2 linked regions of the Anolis sagrei genome follow. The protein of the gene in region 1 interacts with the protein of each later gene in a pairwise test. Links are inferred from orthologs where the notes say so. Each region holds a gene or a part of one and is shown on either strand. Other genes may lie near its edges.

Region 1 (3,753 bases):
CCTCACGTTCCTAATTCCAACAGAACTCGCAACCCCTTAGGGTGTGTGTGTGTGTGTGTATGGCAGATACATAAGCCCCACTTTCCTAGTTTCCAATAGACCTCACAACCTCTGAGGATGCCTGCCATAGATGCAGGCAAAATGTCAGGAGAGAATGCTTCTGTAACATAGCCATACAGCCTAGAAAACTCACAACAATCCAGTGATTCCAGCCATGCAAGCCTTCGACAACATACTAGTATTATTATACTACGTAACACATTTTTTGTTCCTGGATTATCAATATCATTTCCGAATTGGTCATTACAGTTAATTGGTTAATAATAGTTATTATTATTATTATTATTGTTGTTGTTGTTGTTGTTATTGGAGCCACAGGTGGCGCAGTGGGTTAAAGCACTGAGCTGCTGAACTTGTTGGCCAAAAGGTCACAGGTTCGAATCCAGGGAGCAGAGTGAGCTCCCGTTGTCAGCCACAGCTTCTGCCAACCTAGCAGTTCACATGCAAATGTGAATAGATCAATAGATACCATTCTGGCAGGAAGGTAACGGCGCTCCATGCAGCCATATCGGCCACATGACCTTGGAGGTGTCTACGGACAATGCCGGCTCTTTGGCTTAGAAATGGGGGTGAGCACCAACCCTCAGAGTCAGATGCAACTGGACTTAATATCATGGAAAAACCTATTATTATTGTATTGTCGAAGGCTATTATTGTATGGCCGGAATCATTGGGTTGTTGTAGGTTTTTCAGGTTGTATAGCCATGTTCTAGAAGCAGTCTCTCCTGACATTTTGCCTGCATCTATGGCAGGCATCCTCAGAGGTTGTGAGGTCTGTTTGAAACTAGGAAAGTTGGGTTTATGTATCTGCCATATATATATCCTCAGAGGTTGTGAGGTCTGTTGGAACTAGGAAAGTGAGGTTTATATATCTGTCATATATATATTCACAGAGGTTATATATTCTCAAGAGGTTGTGAGGTCTGCTGGGAACTAGGAAAGTGGGGTTTATATATCTGCCTGCCATACATGCAGGCAAAACGTCAGGAGAGAATGCTTCTGGAACAAGGCCATACATTCCAGAAAACTCACAACAACCCAATAACAACTATAATTACGTCTTGTTCCTGGGTTATCACTGTTGTTTCCTAATTGGTTCTTTCATAAAAACATGGGGGAAGTTTCTTAAAGTTTGTTTTTGCAAGAGGTGCCATCCTGCCATAGCTCATTTTTCTCTAGTTTTTCAATTAGGGTGCTTGCCATAGATGCAGGCAAAACATCAGGAGATAATGCTTCTAGAACATGGCCGTACAGCCCGAAAAACCTACAACAACCCTATTATTATTATTTGAAACACAACAAGATGAGTCCACAGCAGACACTCTGCTGGCTGTTGTATTGGATCACACGTCGGACGCTTCCCAAGTGTCTAGGACTGTGTGATGTATCGGCAAATAATGTGTGCAGATCCCAGTAAGGTGGCCTTTTGCAGCTGGCAGATGGTAATTTTGTCAGTGCCGATTGTGTTTAAGTGCAGGCCAAGGTCATTAGGCACTGCACCCAGTGTGCCGATCACCACTGGGACCACCTTGACTGGCTTGTGCCAGAGTCTTTGCAGTTCATTATTATTATTATTATTATAACTAGGGAAGTCTAATTTAGAGAAATTAGGGAAGTCTAAAGACCTTTGGAAATTAATCTTCCATGACTCCATAGATCAGGAATGGGCAAACTCTGGTCCTCCAAGTGTTTTGGATTTCAACTCAGTATAGATCAGGCCTGGGCAAAGTTCTGCCCTTCCAGGTGATTTGGACTTCAACTCCCACAATTCCTAACAGCCTACCGGCTGTTAGGAATTGTGGGAGTTGAAGTCCAAACACCTGGAAGGGCAGAAGTTTGCCCAGACCTGCCATAGATAGTGTCACTGTGTTGGGACCTCCAAGAGAGAAGATTCCAACCTGGGAGGACCTTTACCTTTGGATTCCTATGAGTTTGGATGCAGTTCCCTCCACTGGGTAAGACTAGATCTCCCTCCTGCTTACCTGCCATGGTGGCTTGTCCTCCCTGGACCCGGTGGAGAAGGGGAAGAGCTCTTTGCCCGGCTTGGGGTGCCTCTCCTGGGATCCAGCTGGTCCTTCTGAGTGTCTTCCTTCCTGGGCAAGAGTGCCTCCTGGTTGGGGCAGGTTTTGAGGCTCCCTCCTTGGGAGGCGGCGCTGGCTGGAGACCTCCCTCCTCCTCGAAGCCTCCGCCCCGCTCCCCCTACAATCCGGCGGGGAATTTCCACCCTGTGACGTCCTCCTCGTGACGTCTTCTTCGTGGGTCTCCCCTCCCACCTCCCACCACCAAAACCCCGGTGCGCCAAGGAGGAGATAAGGCGCACAGAGAGAGAGAGGCAAGAGAGGAGTAGGAGGGGCTGAGAGAGCGTGACTCCCCGTCACACCAAGCCACACTCCCCTCCAAAAAAAGGGGGGGAGGGCATTCTAACCTTTGAGGGTTTAAGGTCAGGTTTGGGGAGCCCCCTCTTCAAAGGCGCGCCCACCACTCTCCCACCTTCTCAAACTTCACCCAACTTCTTTTCTTTTGGTGCATCTCCACTCGAGAAAGGATTCAGCTCCAGACCACTTGCATTTGCCAGTTGCTTGCTGCTGTGGGAGGCTGGGAGTTATAGTTTTACCATAGTCTTCTTGAGCCTCTCAACAAAGGATTCCCCCAGGCAGTAAGAAACTGCAAGGCCATTGAATGCTAATCAAGGTGGCCAATTGAAACATTCACACCTATCTTCAATAGACAAAGAGTTAGGTTCTTGTGGGGTTTTTTGGGCTATAGGGCCATGTTCTAGAGACATTTCTCCTGACGTTTCACCTGCATCTATGGCAAGCATCCTCAGAGGTAGTGAGGTCTGTTGGAAATAGGACAATGGGTTTATATATCTGTGGAATGGCTGGGGTGGGGCAAAGAGCTCTTCTCTGCTAGAGCTAGGTGTGAATGTTTCAACTGACCACCTTCATTAGCATTTGAAGGCCTGCCTGGGCCTGGGAAAATCTTTCGTTGAGAGGTGTTAAGATGTGCCTGGTTGACAAAGAGTTCTCCCAAATGCCTCACCAAATTGCAACTTCCAGGATTCCATAATAATGCCTCTCAACAAAGGATTCCCCCAGGCAGTAAGAAACTGCAAGGCCATTGAATGCTAATCAAGGTGGCCAATTGAAACATTCACGCCTATCTCCAACAGACAAAGAGTTCTTTCTCCCAAATGCCCCACCAAATTGCAACTTCCAGGATTCTGTAATAATGCCTCTCAACAAAGGATTCCTCCAGGCAGTAAGAAGCCAGACCCTGAAACTGCAAGGCCATTAAATGCTGATCATGGTGGCCAATTGAAACATTCACACCTACCTCCAACAGACAAAGAGTTCCTCCAAATACCTCACCAAACTGCAACTTCCAGTATTCCGTAATAACAGTAAGAGAGCTCATCGCCTCTCAACGAAGGATTCCCCCAGGCAGTAAGAAGCCAGATCTTGAAGCTGCAAGGCCATTAAGTGCTAATTAAGGTAGCCAGTTGAAACATTCAGACCTACCTCCAACAAACAAAGAGTTCTCCCAAATGCCTCACCAAACTGCAACTTCCAGGATTCCGTAATAACACCTCTCAACAAAGGATTCTCCCGGGCAGTAAGAAGCCAGACCTTGAAGCTACAATGCCATTAAGTGCTAATCAAGATGGCCAATTGAAACATTCACACCTACCTC
Region 2 (3,753 bases), on another chromosome or scaffold:
CATGCAAGAAAACACAATGAAAGCACCCCCAAGGGATGGCCATCCAGCCTCTGCTTTAAAACCTCCAGAGAAGGAGACTATCAGAATATATTCCACAACCGTACAGCTCTGACCATCAGGAAATTCTTCTGAATGTTTAGGTGGACTCTTTTTCTCCTGCAGTTTGAATCTACTGCTCCATGTCCTAATCTTTAGAGCAGCAGAAAAAACTTTTCTCCTCCTCAATGTGACATCTTTTCAAATATTTACACATGGTTCTCATGTCCTCTCAGCCTTCTTTTCCCCAAGCTAAACACACTCACATTCCTTAGTGGCTCCTCATAGGACTCGGTTTCCAAACCTTTGCTCACTTTGGTAGCCCTTCTCTGTGGACGCCTTATTTATTTATTTACTGTATTTTTACCCTGCTCTTTCTCACCCTGAAAGGGGACTCAGAGCAGCTTCCAAACTGGCAGTAATTACAAATATATACAAATACAATATACACCTACACTAAAATCAATACAAATTTTAAAAATAATAGAATATCTATTAAAAACCACATAAGATCCGAAGTCATAATCCAGAAGGCATTCCAATTGTGTTGCAATTACTTCACAGCTGCCTATTGCACTGACTTCTCCGAAAGCTTGGTCCCATAGCCAGGTTTTTAGTTTCTTTCTAAAGGTCCGGAGGGAGGGAGCTGATCTGATTTCACTGGGGCCCCTTCCCCACTGCCCCTTCATCCCAGGATATGATCCCAGATTATCTGTTTATCCTAGGTTATCTGGCAGTGTGGACTCATAATCCAGTTTAAAGCAGAAAACTTGGGATCTGATCCTGGGATAAAGGGCCTATCTGGAAGGGCCCTGGGAAGTGAGTTCCACAGCCGAGCCATCACTGAGAAGGCCCTGTCTCTCGTTCCCACCAGCCGCACCTGTGACGAAGGTGGGACCGAGAGCAGGGTCTCCCTAGAACAGTGGTAAACTGGTTGGGATTTCTGGGAGTTGTAGGCCAAAGCACCTGGGGACCCACAGGTTGAGAACCACTGCCCTAGAAGTAAGTAAGTAATGTTATTGATTAGCCCTTAGGCCATATCACAATAAGAAAGAAAACAACAAGGACTGAAAAGACCTTATCACACTCCACTTAGTAAGTTAAAATACGACACTTATAACAACACTGTAAATAAATATAAGACGTGATAAAACTGATAAACTTATCAAGATGAGTATATACATCATATTTCATTATCACCCCTACAATTTACCCCCAATCAGCCCTACATATGTGGTTCTCAGACGTATTGTTTTGCTTAAGTACAGAGCTGTTTTATATGTAATTTTTGGGTCTTGGTCACACATAAAGTATGTTGTTCTGATGTGAGATTCCCAATACATTCTCCGTTTGATATATGGACCAAGGTGGAAGTCTCAGCCCTAGAAGATCTTAACCTCCGAGGTGGTTCATAGAGGGAGATATGTTCAGACAGGTAGGCTGGGCCAGAACCTTCCAGCTTGTCAATATCTCTTTTCAATTATTATTACTTGGATTATTATTCCAAGTGAGGTCTGACTAAAGCAGAATAGAGGGGGGGGGGGGCTAGGACTTCCCTTGATCTCTACACCATTTTGGATTCTGATACCCTTTACGGCTCCGGCCCAGCGTACCTGTCCGAATGTATCTCCTTCTACGTCCCACCCTGGAGTTTAAGATCTGCTGAGGGGGCCCTGCTCTTGGCCCCACCGTTATCACAAGCGAGACTGGTGGGGATGAGAGACAGGGCCTTCTCGGTGGTGGCCCCTCACCTGTGGAATGCACTCCCCGGGGAAATTAGGACATCAACATCCCTCCTCTCCCTCAGGAAGAAGCTAAAAACCTGGATGTGGGACCTGGCCTTCGGGTAAGCTGGCAGATGGAAAAAGACAACCAAGAATGACCAGAGTAGGAAAGGACAATGACAATGCTAAATTGTTTACGGACTTGGATTTGGTGAACACTGACCACAAGATGTTTTTATTGTTGCTAGTATACTGTCTGATGGTTTTAATTAGTTATAACTGTGATATTATGTGGTAAATTTGTGTATTGTATATGGTATTGTATGTTGTAATTGTTAGGCATCGAATTGTGCCTTTTGTAAGCCACCCTGAGTCCCCCCTAGGGGGTTGAGAAGGGCGGGGTAGAAGCACCCCAAATAAATAAATAAATAAATCCTCTTATTGATGCAGCCTAGAATCGCATTGACTGTTTTAGTTGCTGCATCTCACTATTGACTCACATTCAGCGTGTGGTCGACTAAGACTTTTAGATGCCTTTCACATGTTTTCAAACCAGTTGTCACCCATCCTAAAGCATTTCATGTTTATTGCCCAGGTGTAAAAACCTTACATTTCTCCCTGATGGAATTCTTTCTAGTTTTGGCCCATCTCTCTAATCCAGGCATGGGCAAACTTGGGCCCTCCAGGTGTTTGGGACTTCAACTCCCACCATTCCTAACAGCCTCAGACCCCTTCCTTTTCCCCCTCAGCTGCTTAAGCGGCTGAGGGGGAAAAGGAAGGGGCCTGAGGCTGTTAGGAATGGTGGGAGTTGAAGTCCCAAACACCTGGAGGGCCTAAGTTTGCCTATGCCGACTCTAACCTGTTCAAAAGCCATTTTGGATCCTGATACAGACATTATACTCCTATTGATGCGGCCTAGAATGGCACTGGCCTTTTCAACAGCCAAAACATAGAAGTTACAATTTCCAGAAGGCTCTCTTCTCTCCCACGATGTCTCCATAAACTGAGGCCCCCTCCCACGTTTCGAAGACTCCGCCAATCCAATCCATTCCCCATTCTGGGTCACCCACCAGGGACGCAAAACCGCGCGGGCGCCATGACAGAAAGGCTCTCTCCACAGCCAGGCCTCCGAGCCTCCCATTGGCTACTCTCGTGGTCACGTGACTGCTTCGCCCCGGTTTGGGAGACGTCCGGGAGAGAGAGAGAGAAAAAATGTCGGAGGAAGAGTATTAGGCGCCGCGCGGGGCATGACGGGAATCGTAGTTCCATTCGGGACATGCAGCGTGCATGCGCGGACGGGGCTGTTAAAGGGAGGGTGGGAGAGAAGATGCTCAGGTGAGGCAGGAACCGGGAAGCGTCTGGGGCTGAGGATGGCAGGAACAGGTAAGCTCCGTGCCTTGGCCTCGTTGTGTTGCATGCTTTGAACCCTAAAGGAGAGAGTCTCCTTTGTTCCTCTCCATTGTTATTTTGGAGCTCGTCTTCCATAGCTAAGCCTTTGGCATCCCTCCACCCTTTCAATCACAAAGAGGAGGCTGTGATGATTTCTCTTCCTTCCTTCCCTTCATAATGACCTGGCTTTCCCCATATTAACCTCCAGCTTCTAAGAGGTTTTATGAATGGATGTGCAGTATTTTCTTCCTCCGGTTTGTGCAGCTACACTGTAGAATAAATGCGGTTTGATACCGCTTTAACTGCCCTGGCTCAGTGCTAGCTCTCTGCCAAAGAGTGCTGGTACTTCATCTAACTACAAACCCCTGGATTCCAATAGCATTGAGCCAGGGCAGTTAAAGTGGTGTCAAACTGTGTTAATTCTACAGTGTAGATTGCTCCAAGGGGGTATTTATTTATATATAACTAAACATCCCTTGCCACGCGTTGATGTGGCCCAGTCTGTGTATATGAGTTTTATGTGTGTGTATATATTTGTGTATGTGTTTATATATGTCTGTCTGCATATATATATATATATATATATATATATAAGCAGACAGAC

What was found. The genes of interacting proteins can lie anywhere in the genome.
Region 2: the proteins of REL (region 1) and EXOSC1 interact in binary tests that used the Homo sapiens proteins (3 or more experiments, as listed by UniProt). The two-hybrid records come from large-scale screens. The link is inferred for Anolis sagrei from reciprocal best matches to the Homo sapiens genes REL and EXOSC1.

The regions. Positions count from the first base shown.
Region 1 is NC_090021.1:12,673,883-12,677,635, forward strand, and holds the start of REL (proto-oncogene c-Rel), read right to left. Parts: upstream 2,299-3,753; 5' UTR 2,050-2,298; coding exon 2,043-2,049; intron 1-2,042. UniProt on the Homo sapiens protein: Proto-oncogene that may play a role in differentiation and lymphopoiesis.
Region 2 is NC_090023.1:217,772,453-217,776,205, forward strand, and holds the start of EXOSC1 (exosome complex component CSL4), read right to left. Parts: upstream 2,933-3,753; 5' UTR 2,859-2,932; coding exon 2,831-2,858; intron 1-2,830. UniProt on the Homo sapiens protein: Non-catalytic component of the RNA exosome complex which has 3'->5' exoribonuclease activity and participates in a multitude of cellular RNA processing and degradation events.